Macaca fascicularis: one gene and its partners. The protein of the gene in region 2 purifies or fractionates together with the protein of the main gene of each other region. This does not show direct contact. Links are inferred from orthologs where the notes say so. Each region holds a gene or a part of one and is shown on either strand. Other genes may lie near its edges.

Region 1 (3,839 bases), on a different chromosome or scaffold from region 2:
GAGACCATCTCTAAAAAAGCAAAACCCAGGCCGTGCATGGTGGTTCATGTCTGTAATCCCAGCACTTTGGGAGGCTGAGGTGGGCATATCACCTGAGGTAGGAAGTTCGAGACCAGCCTGGCCAACATGGTGAAACCCCGTCTCTACTTAAAAAAAAAAAAAATACAAAAATTAACCGGGTATGGTGGCAGATGCCTGTAATCCCAGCTACTCAGGAGGCTGAGGCAGGAGAATCACTTGAACCCAGGGGACGGAGGTTGCAGTGAGTTGAGATTGCACCATTGCGCTCCAGCCTGGGGGACAAGAGCGAGAGTTCGTCTCAAAAGAAAAAAAAAAGCAAAACCCCCCAAAAAACCAAGAATAATAATAATAATAATAAAGGGTTTGGACAGGTTCAGCAGTCACGCTGGGATGGAGACAGGTTTTACACTGAGGAAGAGATGATCAACTGGGCCTGGGCTGGCAGCTCCTGGTCATCCTCAGGTTCACAGTGAAACACAATCATAGACCAACATTCTTTAATCACAAAGGCACTTGAGGACCCCTACAAACCCAAAGTCTCTGCCAAGAGTGGGCCCGCAGACACCCCACCTTCTATCCACCCATTCATCCATCCCACACTCAGAGTTCATCGTGACCTGCAGAGGGCTCCACACTAGGCTTGATGAAGATGCCTTCCATGGCCTTCCATGTATTGTGCGTGTTGGCACTGGGCATGCCGTGGACCTCATGCTGCCCACGGATGGGGCTTCCATACTGCTCACCCGTGACTGACAGGAACACAGAGGTGCCCACGTGCTGGAAGCGCACAGCAGCCTCACGCTCCCAGTGCTGTCCAGAGCAGCGCACTGTCCATAGGTCCAGGTCGTCACCCTCGCCGTCTTCCCCAAAGGCACTCACCTCCTATAGGTGCAGAGGGTGAGGGGACAGTGGTCACCACAGAAGGCGGCATTCGTACCTACACTGAGCCTAGGATCCTTCCCTGCCCTTCCTGGAGACTCAGCTCCCACAGCTGCAAAAGGTGACACCATGACCCGCCCGCACAACCTCTGGCACTCCCTCCCCAGCATGGGCTCTTCAGACACGTGCACACACCATTGCATCTGTCTGTGCAGAGACTACTGGTCCCCACAGAGCTAAGGCCTCCTCCTCCACATTCTCCCAGTCCTAATCCCTCTGACCTACCTTCAGCCCCTCAGGCTAGCAGTCAAGCTGTCTATCTATCTCAAACATTTTCTTCCACCAACTCTCCAAGGGCACCCACTGTTCCATCCCAATCCCCTGAATTCCACTGACCTCCACGCATTGGTGCAATCTCTTCTGCTGGCCTGGGAAGTCCTTCTTTTCCCTTTGTGGCTTGGAGGACTCCTAATCATCCTTTCAGACCCAGCCTGAGTTCCTCCTCCCCAGTGGAGTTTCCTATTCCCCACCCTCAAGGCTGTGTGGATTCTCCTCCTGGGTCCCACTTGCCCCCAGAGGAAGAGCTATCCAGGAGGATCTCTTCGGATCTCTCTCCCATCGGTCTCCCTGCAGGGCCGGGAGCACCTGGGGGCAGGATCTTGGCGGAGTTACTCTGTTTCCCCCGAAGGGGTGCTCAATAACCATCTCTGAAGTGAAATTTCCATTTCACGAAGAAGCTGAGGCTCGGATTGGAACCCAGGATCTCTGGCCCCTCACACAGGCCAGGAATCTCTCTGGGGGCTCCGGGAGGGGCTCACCTGGTTGTTGGACAGCGGTGACGGGAAGTGGTGCGTGTGTAGGTTCTTGCCTGTAAGCACATGCGTGAGCCGCACTGCCTGCCCGCAGCGCACCGGGGACCCACGCGGGCACCCGCCTTCCGAACCGCCGCGGATCCGCCAGTAGCTATTGGCGTCGTCCGACGCCTCCACGCCGGTCACCGATTGCTGGCCGCTGCCTGAGGAGTGACACCCCACCCACCCAGGGTCTCCGTCAATCGCAGAACCCCGGACCCTCGCCCTGGGACCATAACATTTCCCAGGGGACCCCAAGGGGCTCACCCCCAGTCCCGGCCCCCGCCTGACACCCCCCTCAGTCTTTGGGCCTGCAGTTCCCCGACGACCGTCCCCACCCTCAATATCCTCGACACACTCAAAGCCTTGCGCCCCTCGACCCCCCAACGACTCTAGAGCCTCCGCCGCCCGGCTTCGAGATGGCCCACAGACCCCCACGACCACCCTGTCTCCACACTCCCAACCCCAAGCCCCCGATCCCCGCGCTCTCCCAGTCGCAGGTCACACGCACCGGATCCGTATTTGATGTCGTGCGAGTGCAGCCGCACCCGGTGGTGCGTATTGAGCAGCTTCAGCACCGACCCGCAGGTCACGAGCCCCGCGCCAGTCTTGGCGGCACTACCGCCCGGCACTAAGAGCGCCAGCAGCAGCCCCAACAGCACCGGCCCGGCAGACCCGCCGCGGCCCGCGCTCCACATCGCCCCGGCCCGGCTCCAGCCGCTCCGGCCCTAGGGCTGCTTCCGTCCTCGCCGCGGCCCAATCCAGTTCTGACAGCGCCCGCTCGCGGCAGCCAATGGTCGGCCCGCGCGGCACTCCGCTTGCACTGCCATTGGGTCATTGAGGAGAGGGCCCGCCCCCGGCTCGCTAGAGCAGTAGCTGGGCGGGGACTGGAGACACGAGGAGGGTTTTGATTGGTACACGCTTCCGAGGACTTTCCAATGAGTGTCCAGGGAAGGGCGGCTGAGTAGCCAAGCGGCGGAGAATGAGCGGGAGCGCTTGGTGAGGACGCCGAGTCCGAGCCCCGCAGCCGCTGAGTGCCTGGATACCAGCTCAGGATCCTAGGACCCTGCAGGCACGTGTTCACGACGCCCCTTGATCCTGGACTCCTGGGCACTCAGTAATTAGTCTCTCCCCTCAGAACCTGGGACCACAACTGCAGGGTCTTGAGGCTGTTGGATCACTAGATTTTGTGGTCACAAAGTCGACAGATCCCAGAATCACTGAATCGTCTGGTCCTTCAGTCCCTGGACCCCGAGATTAATGAAACCCCCAGTCATTCGGCCCTAGCCGCCTCTCTGACACTGGGTCACCACAGTCCCTAGACCCTGGGGTTTCTGAATTCCCCTGGCCACTTATACATTTGACTCCTTTCGTGGCTAAATCTTGTGGTCACTGGGTCATCGGGCAGGAGAGGGCAGCAGGGAGCTGTGGCGTCGAGAATAATGGCAGCTTCCCACCAGAAAGCCCCAGAGCTGTCTTAGGAAACCAGAGTCCAAGGAGACCAAGGGGCTGTGGGAACCAAGCCTGGGTGACTGTGTCCCAGTCTCCTGGCCATGAGTAGGTCTCCCTTTTGCCGCCTTCTCAGAGTGTTGTCAGCTCAACCTTCAAAGGGAGGAAAACTTATACCACTGTTTATTCATTCATGGGACATTGTTGCAGCGGCTTCACTCCAGATCCTGTGGGGTCACAGAGGAAATAGCTCTGGGCTCAAGAGGCTAGGGTGTAGTTGAAGCACAGGCAAAGCAGAGACAAAAGTTCATATTTAATTAAATCGTCCAGAATTTTGCATTCAGAAAATCCAGAGTAAAGCGATTTTCATTACAGCAACATGTTATTTTGGGGGTTTCATGTTTCATATTGTTTTTATTTTGAGTTACATGTAGTATAAGTCACCTTGATCTTTTCAGCATTTAGGTGTCCAAACAGTTAAAGGTCAGTCTACCCTGGATTTGGTAGTCACTGCACTTGAGGGGTTTCCAGTCTAGGGTGGAAGAGCTGAAGTACTATCTGAGAGGCAACGGATATATACTCTTGGACATGTCAGCCATCACCTCAAAATCAACACATGCAAAGCAGAATTCCTGGTCT
Region 2 (4,309 bases):
GATTCCTTCCTTTCAAGGTTTATGTCTTCCTAAAATACTTTTCAATTTGTTTTTAGCCTTCTCAATATATAAGAATTTAAACTTAAATTCGGGAGTTTTAGCTCTATGACTTTTAGTTCAACTAATTTTTTTCTGTGTCCATTTAGAAAATGAGAATAAAAATATGCCTAGCTCTAATGTATTTCCTGGTGTCCTAGTGAAGGTTAAATGAGATGATACAAATGGAGAGTGTTTTGGTCCCCAGATTAGAGGTTGGAAAATCAAATTAAAACTGTGCTTTGTTTGATCTACGTAAAAAAGAAATTTAACTGAATTAGTTACCAACATTTTTACAAGCAGAACTTATATAAAAGTCTAGATTTTCAACTTTTCTGGAAAAATTAAATCATCTAGGAACATACTGTTTGCATTACTATGACAAAAACTGGCTAGGGTTGAGGTAACAGCTGCTCCCTTGAAATGGGGCCAGAAGGCTTCAATTTGTCAAAGCCCTCAACAATCCTTATTGCTTCCCAACATGGAGGCAGAATATCTGCTGTCATGTTTTAATTTATACCTGCCCTGCATGTTATTTGTCTAGTTCATATGAACATGTAGGTTTGCAACTCTCATGAAGGCTTTCTTTTTATTTTTGGTCTAGCTCCCAAACTGACTGACTGACAGACCAATCAGTTGATCTACTTATTAATCTACCAATCTTTCATTTATTCTTTTGCAGCATTATTCTCCTTCTTAAAATAAATATTAATATCAAAAGGCAGAAAATGGTATCTACTAACATGAATGTAATATCTAGTACAATACAGTATCAAGTACTACTTTTACTTTCATCTACCATCTACTTTTAAATAAAAGTGACCTGGGCTGGGCGTGGTAGCTCACACCTGTAATCCCAACACTTTGAGAGGCCGAGGCGGGCGGGTCACTTGAGGTCAGGAGTTCGAGACCAGCCTGGCCAACATGGTGAAACCCTGTCTCTACTAAAAATACAAAAATTAACCAGGCGTGGTGACATGCACTTGTAATCCCAGCTACTCGGGAGGCTGAGGTGGGAGAAGTGCTTGAACCGGGGAGGCGGAGGTTGCAGTGAGCAGAGATTGCACCACTGCACTCCAGCCTAGGCAATAAAGTGAGACTCAGTCTCTAAATAAATATATGTGAGCTGAAAAGAGTATTTCTCTGTATTGTATATTTTTTCTAGAGCTACAGATTTTATTTGTTCTTTATCACTTTTCCTGACTCACCTCATAAGCAGCACCCAGATCCTGGAATTTCTCCTGGGCTTGTGGATCATCAGGGTTCCGGTCGGGATGAAGCTGCAGGGCTAGTTTCCTATAGGCCTTTTTAATATCCTTTATAGAGGCACTTCGAGGCACCCCCAAGATCTTATAGAAGTCTCGTCTGGGAAGTAGAGGGAGAGAATACTTCATCAGAGTTACATGTTACATTTTTAAAAGTAAAAGATTTATTTTTCCTCTACATTTAGGTTTGTGTCTGAGCAAAGAGGTACGAAAGTGAACGTTTATGTGACACATATACACACAAAGAATGACTAAAAAGAGAACACCAGAATTTGTAATGAATCTTATATATTGAAGTAATCACAGTAAGAAGCTACATACTTCTTTTTAGATTATTCAAAACATCTGTGGCATCTTCTTTCAGAACCACCTTCAGTCAAGAAAACCACTTCCTTATTTTATGGTCTCATGTTATCTTTAGGCAATAACCATATAATCAAATTAACTCTTCCCCCCTTTCTCTACATTTGCTCCAAATGATTTTGACTTTTCTAAAAGTCAAATAACACTCTCAAGGGATGATTTTCCTTATTTAAAAAGATTATGCCACATAAATGTCCTAACAGTAGCATTGCCAGAATGTTAAAGACGAAGCAACTTAAGACAATAAATAGCTCAAGAAGCTGGGAAGCACAAGGGCTCTCCAAAGGGTCTTCTTGTTCCCCTCCCCATCCAATTTCCTTCAGTCCCAACTCGGCCTGGCATCATCCACCCACTTTAATGTCAGCCCCCCAATGGCTCTTCGCAGGCTTGGCATAGAGCATCGTCCGCTTCTCCAGCTCAGCGGGGCACAGCAACCCACCTCTTTGATCAAACAAACGTCCATCCCCCCAACCTCAGCCTAGCACTGTCACTACCTTTCCTTACAGTCAGGCATCCCTCTTTCTTCCCCCAGCTCTACGTGACAGTGCTCCAGCTCACAACCACCTTCTTTCCCTCATCCCCCAAATGCCGTTGGCAATGCATCCAACTCCCACTCCTCCGGGCAAATCTAGCTCTACCAAAGACCTTCTCTGGACCTAACGCCTTCTCACTGGTGTCACCTACGGTTCGCTTCTCACCCCACTAGTCTGGCCCATACTACCCCTTCCTCCGCCACCCCGCCAACCCACAGCGATGCCCCTCTCCACTCCCTCAGTCTGGCAATACCACTTCCCCCACCCCCTCCCACCCCCTAGCAAAGGCTGACCCCCGGGCCCCGCTGTCTGCGAGTGTCTATTCCTCACCCGGCAATCACGGCCCCGATGAGGTACAGTAGCAACAGGCAAAAGGTGCTCAGGTTCTGCGGAGCCATGGTTCCTCTGTCCCGGGTCTTGTCCCACACACTCCTCACAGCCTCCTCCGCCGCCGCGTCGGCTCGCCAGCCCACCCAGCCCTGTGAGGCGCCTCACACTGGGGGGCGGGGGGGTCCCCTCCTTGGTCCGCAGAGACAGCTAGCTAGCCCCCTCCTCTTCCAGTCCACTTCCCGGGAGTCCCAAGTCCCGGTGAGAGAAGACCCCGGTAAGCGAGAGCCAATCGTTGCCCGGGACATCACACGCGGCCGGCGCCTGAAAGCCAATCAGCGCAGTACACTTCACCTCCGAGGCGGCACGGGTAGCCAGTTAGGCTTCAGAACTGCAGTCGCAGATCTTGACCAATTAGAAGAGGAGACGTCAGAGGGTCGCGCCGCTGCAGGAACCCGCTCTGCCCGAGCTACCCCGAGTCGTAGAAAATTACGTAATGGTAGGGGGCTGGTCCGAGTAAGGGCACCTGAGGTACACGAAATCCTCCCCGACTCACCCACTTCCTCGAACTTTCCACCAATCAGGAGGCTCCTCCCCAGCACCAACCAATTGTGGGAGAGAAGTTTTCTCTGTGTTTCAAGTTTGGAATTTCATTCATACCCAGCTACGCGCCGAATGCGGGAGCAGAATGAGGGAACAGCGGCAGAATGAGCGGGGACGGTTATTCCCCAACTGTACATCGGACGCATTGCTTAGGACTCTTATTTTACGTTCTCCAAGCAACTCCATAAGTCTCGGAAAGGCGACAGTGATGATTGACCGACTTAAGTGCGGATTCGGCTTGCACCGCTTCTCAGTGGTGAGACTCCTTACTCCTTCCCTCCTCCCAAGTCTGAGCCTAAGTTTCTTTATCAACAAAACTAAGGCAAAGCACTTATTGGCAGTTCTGTGAATTTTAACAGGGAAAAAAAATCTGTAAATCGTCTGGCGTATAGTAAGCAGGCAATGAATAAAAACCATTATTACTGTTCGAGCATAAGTCTTTGATTCCCCGTCTTCCCCCCCGATTTTGCTCATCACAGTTACACAACACCTAGTTGATCAGGACAAAGCTCTAGGTGTTTTTACTCCTTTCATATATAAGCTATCCAAATCTTTACCTCTGAACTATACTTGAATCTGTTCACTACATCTCCATTACTAGGTCTCTGGATCACAGTGTATCTCTCACCTGGCCAGGGCCTCCTAACTGGCCTCCTTGTCTCCACTCTTAATATCTTCCTTAATACCTTCATATATGTTGCTCATCCCTGTCCCTCACTCCTTTTTTTTTTTTTTTTTTAAGGGCCGGGCGCGGTGGCTCACGCCTGTAATCCCAGCACTTTGGGAGGCCGAGATGGGCGGATCACCTGAGGTCAGGAGCTTGAGACCAGCCTGGCCAACATGGTGAAACCCCGTCTCTACTAAAACTACAAAAATTAGCAGGGTGTGGTGGCGAGCGCCTGTAATCCCAGCTACTCGGGAGGCTGAGGCAGGAGAATTGCTTGAACCTGGGAGGTGGAGGTTGCAATGACCTGAGTTCCTGCCACTGCACTCCATCCTGGGCGACAGAGTGAGACTCCATTTCAAAAAAAAATAAATACATAAAAAATAAAAGTCAAATCATGTCACTCCCCTGTTTAAAAGCCTGGAATGGCTCTTCATTTGCACTTAGAATAAAATCCCAGCTCTATGCTAGTTTACAAAGCCATTTATGCTTTGTCCTCTCACCTATTATGCTCCTAA
Region 3 (4,013 bases), on a different chromosome or scaffold from region 2:
AATTAATCAGGTGTGGTGGGGTGCACTTGCAGTCCCAGCTACTCAGGAGGCTGAGATGTGAGGATTGCTTGGGCCCAGGAGGTCAAGGCTGCAATGAGTCGTGATTGTGTCACTGCACCTCAGCTTGGACGACAGAGTAAGACTCTGTTTCTTAATTTCTTTCTTTTTTTTTTTGAGACAGAGTCTGTTCTGTCACCAGGCTGGAGTGCAGTGGTGCGATCTCGGCTCACTGCAACCTCCAATTCTCTGGTTCAAGTGATTCTCCTGCCTTGGTCTCCCATGTCTCTTAAGGAAAGAAAAAATCTAGCTACAGGATTTAAAAAGCTGGGGCGGGGGGGTGCGGTATACAAATAATCGCTGATAGCTAATGTGTGTTACTAAGACTGCTCAGCACCACAGTGTGTGAGGACTTACTGGGTATCTAGCACTGACCTAAGTCCTTTGTTTGAATATTCTTATTTGACATCTACATTTGCTGAAGTAGGTATTATTATCCCCAGCATACCCAAGGTCACACAACTCTAAGAAACAAGGCTGGGACTGAATGAACCTAGACAGCCCGACTCTAGAACTAACACTCTTAACCATTCTGCATCATATCTCATTAAGATCATATTTCTTCCAAAAGCTTTAAATTGTCAGGTTTCCCCAAACGAGCTACTCTCATAAACACCAGGGATACCCTCTTTCCTAGGCTTCATTCACTACCCAGGTCTTTGAAAGCATTCGTATTTCCCAGATACTTTCCTCTAATAGTTTTACCTGTTCCTTCTAGCTTTGCTTTCAGCTCCATGGCCTTGCCTGACCAAAGACTTTTGATATTTCACTTTTACCACGTATACCATTATGCCTCGTGCCAGTTACACGGGTAAATATAGCCAACTATCAGCTCCTTTCTACTGTCTCCTTCCACTCAGCTCATGACTTTATTATATCATTCTTTTTCAGAAAAGCCAAACCAAGTCTCCCTTCCTACTTCTGGTTACTGCCTTACAGCTCTCTGGGGTCCTCACAGCCACGCTTCACTACTAAACCATGGTCTACATTTTGTCTCCTACATTTTCTGCTTTCTATTCAACCCTTCACTTCCTCCTCCAAATCCTTATACCTTGGGATTATCCAAAGTTCTATGCCTGGCCTTCATATATTTCCACCTGTAGTTCTTAAATTGCTGAGGGTCAGGACAAAAGCATTTGTATTTTTAACAAGTTTCTCAAGTTATTCATATTGATCCCAGATTGAGAACCACAGTTCATCCTGGGCAATTTCATCCACTACCCTGACATTTTCAACCACAGTCTGTACAAGATGTTGTATTTAATGTTGTATCTAATGTGGTATCTCAGGCTCAGCAGAGATCCCTTTTCTGAGCTTCAGACTGAACCTGGTTCCCAAATCTGGCTGTCCATCAGAACCACCTGAAGAGCTTTTTAAACCTACAGATTGCTACTGCCAAGCCTCTGTCCACCTCCACTCTAATTCAGTAGATCCAAAGTTGGAAACCAAAGCAAATTAAAAAATAAGCCTGACAACATGTTAGGTGTTCACTGAATGGGTGCTAGGATTATTAAGACATCGCAGTGATGATAACTCACGTCCTTGCCTAGTCTAACTGATCAGATAGGTTTTGGGAATCATGAACCAGACTAGCCCACCTGACAGAACTCTTTCCTCCCTCAGCAAACAGCATCATCAGTCATCCAAGATAGAATTCTACCAGCTATCTTAAATGCCTCTCACATCTCACTAGCTGACCTTCATTCTTTTTTTGTTTGCTTATCTTTTTTTTTCAGGCAGATAAGACTTTCTTTTTTTGGTCTGTTTTTATTATATTGTAATCTTCTTGACTGATTATCACTACCGAATCTCCTGCAGGTAGTACAATTCTAGTCATTTAGTAGGAACTCATTAAGACCTATGCTGAATGAATGAATTCAAATAATTTATTATTAAACATTTTAATTTCAAATGCTTAAAAAAAAAAAAAGTTTCTGTGCAATTCCTGTCACTGCTCCAAGTTCCTTACAAGAAGGAGGTTCAGATTTGGGTAGAAGGGGCCCAAAAGATAGGAATTAAGGAGCAAGTGTAAGATGCGGAAGAGCTGGAAGACAAAGGGTTGTAGTCAACGAGTGAGCTCTTGGAGTTTAAAGTTTGAGATACAGTACTTACTGTTACTTTAAAATTTCAGACACAGCACTTCCTGTAATTTTCTTGTCTGTCTCTAAAGCAGGCTTTGAACCTGGATAGATTTGGATAGAACCCCGACTTTGACATTTGCTAGCTGCAAGGCTTTGAATAAACGATTTAATTTCTCTGCGTCTGTTAACTCATCTGTGAAATGAGGATAGCAATAGTGTCACCTTACATGAATGTTAATAAGCGGGAAAAGTACATAGGTAACGTGCCTGGCCTGTAGTTCACCAAATATTAGGTGGTGTTGCGATTAAGATGCCTTAGAACAACTCAGTTATCCGACTATCCAGACCTGAGGAACCGTCCCAGGGAACACCTAACCTTCCCAGACCACACCCTCAGATTTTCTTTAGGCCCCGCCCCTCCAGATACTCCCAGGCCTCCCGAGCCCACCCGAGCCCGATCCCCAGCATTACCTGACCCATAGCGCACGTCGTGTGAGTGCAGTCGGACGTTGTGGCGCGTATTGAGTAGCTTTACCACGGAGCCGCAAGTAACGACAGCCAGGCTGGACGCACCCACAGCGCTCCACAAACACCCCAATAACAGTAGAGGTACTACAGCCATCCTAGCTGTATCGCGGAGCCCCAAATCTTCGAAGAAAACGCGGCCCCTCCCCGGAACCGGAAGCTGAAGACGATACCACGGAGAGAAGGAAGTGAAGAAGCCCGAGTCTGATCTTTATGGTTTATCTGGCTAGAGCGGCCTGAGAAACAGGCTGAGCCTGGTTACTTACGATACTCTCGCCCTGTTCCAGGGGCTCAGTAACAGCTGCCTTCCTGAGCCGCTTCGGTTACCGTTCGCACCCACGGGACGAAAGCTCCCGAGAGCGGGAGAGAGAACAAGCAATGGCCCACCCACTCCCGGTGACAGAGAGCCGGAAATGACGTAGCACGTTGACGCAGCGGCGGCGGCGGCGGCGGCGGCGGCGGAGGGGCAGTGCGGTGGGTCCGTAGTATCTTTTCCCTGTCTCGGTTCGACGACTCCATTTTTCCTCGGTGGGGGCTTAGCGCACCGGAGGAGCGGCGGACTTCAGGCAAGTAAAGTTCCGACTGGGGAGCGTGTTTCTCGCAGGAGTCAGGTGGGGAACCGGGCTCCTAGGGCCTGGTCCCGTAAGGGAAGAGGCAATGGGGAGCCGTATGTGGGAAGAAGGGGGGGCCTGGCCTTCCCTGCTCTATGGGGGGAAGGGGGAGGAAAGCGCTGCAGTTGCTCAGAGTCTCAAAGCTTTTCCCAGCCCGGTAACACCCGGAACCCGTGAATTGAGTGGCATGTTGAATCAACAGGCTTCCTGGCATCCAGTCCTTCTCTCCGCAGATTTTTAAAACTGGGCCACGCGAAAGGATTGGGGATAGAAGGGACCTGGGGCTTCTGAACCAGGATCAGGTGATCGAGTTGTTTGTTCTGAGGTTATGAATCCTATGGAGCTTTCAGCAGCTCGATCATCAGGCTAGAGGGCGATGCCAAATTCCAGCTCTTTACATGTTGCTGAATAATACAAATAGAACTTTTTGTAGATAGTTGCATCCTTCATCCCTTTCTAAAGATCGAAGGTGTTGTAGAAGTACCTAAAGCCCGTCCATTCTCCGTAGATTCATTTCCTCAAACGTGTGCCAGAGGCCTATCATGAACATCAAAATGAGTTATTAAGTCAAAACTCGTCTTCTAGTTTCTGCCTTTCTCCTCAGGCACTCGTTTGAACCAGCTGGAGAAGTTAATTTTCCTGGGTTGTTGCAAGAACTGATACTTATTTCACAGGCCTAAGATCTCTGGAAATACTTCCATGGAAATTCACTGTATCAGAAGTAACAAGGGTGTATGAA
Region 4 (4,271 bases), on a different chromosome or scaffold from region 2:
GAAAAATCTAGAAGAAAACAGACAAATATTTCAAAATCAGAAAAAACTAGGTCATCTCTTCTCCATCCTGTGCCACTCTTAGTTCCACATTCACTTCTCTCATAACCATTCTCCATTTCTTTTTTTAAAAGTGAATTGTATTGTGTATATTCGATGTTTACAACATAGTATGAGACACACACAGATAAAATGGTTACAATAGTGAAGCAGATTAACAAGAGTGAAGCAGATTAATATATCTATCATCTCACATAATTATTTTTTGTGTGACAAGAGCAGCTAAAATCTACCTATTTAACAAAAATCCTTAATACAACACAATTTTATTAAGCCTCAGGCCTAGCAGTAGCACCATTTGCCTCCCAGAGAACTATGAGATTAGTGAATCCAGACAGAATTTATTTGGGAAAACAGGGGCTAACAGTTTGCTAATTCAAGACAGAGTTCTTACCTTTATATCCCCATCACCAAATCCAGTGTCAAATACATAGCAGACCCCTAATTTAACTCCTCTATATAATTTATTACACCAGTAACTCAAGTGTGGTCATCTGGCGTCTTTATAGAAAAGCACAATTTCAGGTACTATCAAGATCTAATGAATCAAGCTCTGTAAGTGGGGTACAGCACTCTGTTTTAAAACCCCTCCATGTGCGATTCTGATGCACACTCAAGTTTGAGAACCATTGTATTAAACCTCCCAGGAAATAACCTTCCTGTTAATTACAAAAAAGTGCTGGGGTTTTTTCCTCAGCTGCCATCACTTAAAAATGCTTGGACTCACATGATGTTGTCAACTACTTCTGTCTCCAGCGTGCACACAAAATGAACTTTAGTAAAACCTTTGGAGCCTCAGTTCCCTGGTCTGTGAAGCAGGAATAATACCACACGCTTTCATAAATAAGAGATAGCTTACAGAAAGGCTCCTTTCTTTCCTTTCTTTTCTGTTACCTGTACCAAGTCCCCGCTACTTTACAAAGACAATGGTCCTAAAGAAGACACTCTGGCACTCCTCTGAAAAATGTCACCAGTGCCTCCTACACAGAAAAGCTCTCTAATAAGGTTTTCTCATGGAAAATACCACAGGAGGGAAATGAAGAGTTAAAGAGTCCTTACAGACCCATAAACAGAACAGCAATTCTAAAAAGATGGTTCACAAAGTAGTGGGAAAAGCAATCATTCAAAATTGTGCACCTCTGTAACTTAAAAAAAAAAAATCACCATTAAACAGAACATAGGCAACTTTCTCTTAAGTGTCCAAAATAAATCATAAATGATAACTGGAGATAAATAATAGAGATGAGGGGTGGGAGGTGCGGGGGCAGGAGGAATGAAGCTTTTGAAAATGCAAAAGAACTAGAATATATGACCCATATTAAAGTGGTACAATCCAATCCCCTTAGATTTTCTGGCGGCAGCCTCACTGTCAAATTCTTTGTCCCAGTGTTGCCACACTATGTGTTCTGATTTGGGGTTCAAAAAATATGGTTACCGGGGGAAGCAAAAGCAAAACCCACTGCTGTGGGTGAGACCTAAAAACTGGGGAGTACTACTTTAAAAAAAAAAAAGGTTAAGAACTTTCAGAAGAATTCACTATAAACAATTCCCAACTTTTAGTTCCTCGCTCCCTTTGAATGGAATACTCAAAAGGTTTAATTTGACCTCCTTGACAACTAGCCCTTTTTACGGGGATGAAAATAGATCAGTGCATGTGATGTGTCATTACACTCGAATATTTCGCACAGTAACCGCGCCAGAAGCATTCGTTAAATCGGCACTATCAGCTTTAATTCTTACTCCTCCCCGCTGCCATCTAAGATAGGACAGTCCTCTATTTTCGCTATTCTGGAGTAGCCAACATTCCAGTCTGCAGGACTGAAGTGAAATTTAATCCCTCATATCTTTTTAAGGGAACCTTTTACAGCGAACTTGGAAAAGTAATGCCAGCTATACGTTGAATGGCACCATGCTGGGAGTTGTAAAACCACAAACTCAGTGCCTGGCCGTCCGGGAGGTGGAATTCCAACAGCGGCTCCTCCCTGCACCAAACTAACAATTTCTCCACACGACAGTGCATCTTAATGCGGATGGTTACTCACTTTTTAAATAGTCAACACCGTCCCCTCTAACTCCCAGCCAGACATGACACTTCTACCCCACCCAAGAACGCCAGGGCGAAGGAAGTCTTTTGGGCACCTTAGTGCCTCCTCCTAGCACCAATGACTGACAGTGTCCCCAGGCGCCCAGCGAGGGTCCCAAGCGAGGCCGGGACCCAAAGACTGTCCAAGTCTCCGCGTCCCAGGACGTCCTGAAGTCGCAGCCCCGTGCCCCCGCTCCCCGCCACGGGGTGCACTCCGCCTCCTCCGACTCCTGCGGCCCCTTTCCTTAGTCCAAACCCGCTGTCCCGGCCCCGCGGCCCTCCGGTCCCCTCGACTCTTCCCCAGGCAAACCCGGAACCGGGCGCGGGCTCAGGCCCAAGCCAGGCCGCGGGCTCCCCCAGCGCTCACCCCACCTCCCGAGCCGCCCCGGGACACGCGCCCGGGCGCAGACGGGAAAGCGCGGGGGGCCTGGTCCGGGAGCCCACTTCCCGGCCGGGGCAGGGCAGGACTCACCTTCGTACTGCAGATCCACCAGGACTAGCAGGAAGGGGAACACCGAGCCCAGCCGGCTGGTCACGGAGCCGGGGGCCACCATGTCCGAGGGCTCGCAAGTGAAGAGAAGGAAGAGTGTGTGGCCCACCAGCACGCGCCGGCGCTCTGGCAGCAGTTGCGCCCGCCCCGGTCGGCTCTCGCTCAGGCCTCAGCGGCTCTGGAGCCCAGCAGAGGAAGGCAGCGGTGGGCGGGGCCCGGGCCACGCTACGCCCCGGAGCGCCGCCGCCGTCCAATCGCCTTCTTTCTGGCGGCTTTCCTCCCGGGCTCGCCGGGGTCGTGGTTCGCGCTGATAGGCTGCGGAGGCCGCCGCCCCGCCCCGTCTCTGATAGGATAACGTGGAAGCACGAGACGAGGCTGCGTCTGCCGGTCGCAGAGCTGTCAGCAAGCTCCAAACCGCCGCGGCCGCTCGGAGGGAAGCCGACGGGGAGTCTGTGGCGGTCGCCGAGTCCGCATGCGCAGGCTGCAAAGGCCCTTTTGGGCCGGTCCCGCCGCTCTAGGTTGGCGAGTGGGACAATTTGATCCTTCCGAGGTTCGCCAGCGTGATGTTAGGAGAGGAAAGCTCAGCCGCAGCGTCCGAATGGGAAGGCCAAACACGGTCCCGGGGCGTCTGGAATTGAGGTCTCAAGTGAGCCGGTAAACACCGCCTCCCGCTGAGAGTCCCGGAACAAATACTGCCTGAACTGAGCCGTAAGCAAGAAACGATCAGGAGAAGCTGGGCGTTCATTAGGGCGATCTGATGATTAGACCATTTCAGGGACAACCAGAGACAAGTGCGTAATTGTTCTAAGGCAGGTAGGTAATTGGCCTGGAAACTTGGGCCCCGCCACCCCGACTTTCAGCAAACCAGCGTGCCCAGGAAAAACAGCGATTGTGGAAAACCCTGTGAAGAAGAGACCAGGAAGGCACTGTGGTTTAAGAGAGCGAGGCGTTCCTGAATGCAGCCAACGTCAACTGGTAAGCAAAATACTGTGAGAACGGATCCTGCATCTTGCGCTTACCATGGGAAATTCAAGAGAGATACGAACCTGAGCAAGATGAGGTTGAAGTAACTCAATGCGGCATTAAGCCTGTTCACGGCCACTTCCTCCGGCGTCACCAACACACACACTGTACACCAGCAGTATTTTTACACGGGGTATGTGTGTTAAATAATATCAAGTGCATACTTATTACTTCACCTGTATTTGCTGCCTTGCTACCATAGAGAAACTCATGAATTATAAATAGCATAGTGAATTTGTGATTCCCTGAAGATATACTAACGAGGACTTTTTAAAAGGCGTCTATTCCGAAGAGAACTAATATGGAGGAAATGGTTTCGAGAAAGAAAAAAGAAAAAACGGAGTCCTTGATTAGTTTTGGGGAAGGCAAAATAATATAATGTGAAGAGTAAAGGATTCAGATCCAGGAAACCCCATAACTTTTATGTAAGTTATCGTCATCTGTAAAGTGGTTAGGATCCTGAAAGTCTCAAAGGTTTGTTTTGAGGTTTCATGAAGCAGATAAATGTTCTTATAAATTGTAGAATGTTATACCAGTGTTAGTTATTCTAACAACAGCGGAATAGTTAAGAGAGGCTCCTTCAGAAATTCCTTGGGATTTTTTTTTTTTTTTTGGCTT

The links. The genes of interacting proteins can lie anywhere in the genome.
Region 1: the proteins of DNAJB11 (region 2) and SDF2L1 purify together in Homo sapiens (affinity purification with mass spectrometry; 3 studies listed by BioGRID and IntAct, counting the BioPlex papers as one, with this or other methods). This does not show direct contact. The link is inferred for Macaca fascicularis from reciprocal best matches to the Homo sapiens genes DNAJB11 and SDF2L1.
Region 3: the proteins of DNAJB11 (region 2) and SDF2 purify together in Homo sapiens (affinity purification with mass spectrometry; 3 studies listed by BioGRID and IntAct, counting the BioPlex papers as one, with this or other methods). This does not show direct contact. The link is inferred for Macaca fascicularis from reciprocal best matches to the Homo sapiens genes DNAJB11 and SDF2.
Region 4: the proteins of DNAJB11 (region 2) and DNAJC3 purify together in Homo sapiens (affinity purification with mass spectrometry; 3 studies listed by BioGRID and IntAct, with this or other methods). This does not show direct contact. The link is inferred for Macaca fascicularis from reciprocal best matches to the Homo sapiens genes DNAJB11 and DNAJC3.

The regions. Positions count from the first base shown.
Region 1 is NC_088384.1:31,489,729-31,493,567, forward strand, and holds SDF2L1 (stromal cell-derived factor 2-like protein 1), read right to left. Parts: upstream 2,482-3,839; 5' UTR 2,450-2,481; coding exon 2,263-2,449; intron 1,916-2,262; coding exon 1,719-1,915; intron 904-1,718; coding exon 622-903; 3' UTR 502-621; downstream 1-501.
Region 2 is NC_088376.1:98,516,951-98,521,259, reverse strand, and holds the start of DNAJB11 (dnaJ homolog subfamily B member 11), read right to left. Parts: upstream 2,804-4,309; 5' UTR 2,596-2,803; coding exon 2,528-2,595; intron 1,402-2,527; coding exon 1,245-1,401; intron 1-1,244. UniProt on the Homo sapiens protein: As a co-chaperone for HSPA5 it is required for proper folding, trafficking or degradation of proteins.
Region 3 is NC_088390.1:34,133,089-34,137,101, forward strand, and holds the start of SDF2 (stromal cell-derived factor 2), read right to left. Parts: upstream 2,802-4,013; 5' UTR 2,761-2,801; coding exon 2,610-2,760; intron 1-2,609.
Region 4 is NC_088391.1:86,615,559-86,619,829, reverse strand, and holds the start of DNAJC3 (dnaJ homolog subfamily C member 3), read right to left. Parts: upstream 2,802-4,271; 5' UTR 2,695-2,801; coding exon 2,613-2,694; intron 1-2,612. UniProt on the Homo sapiens protein: Involved in the unfolded protein response (UPR) during endoplasmic reticulum (ER) stress.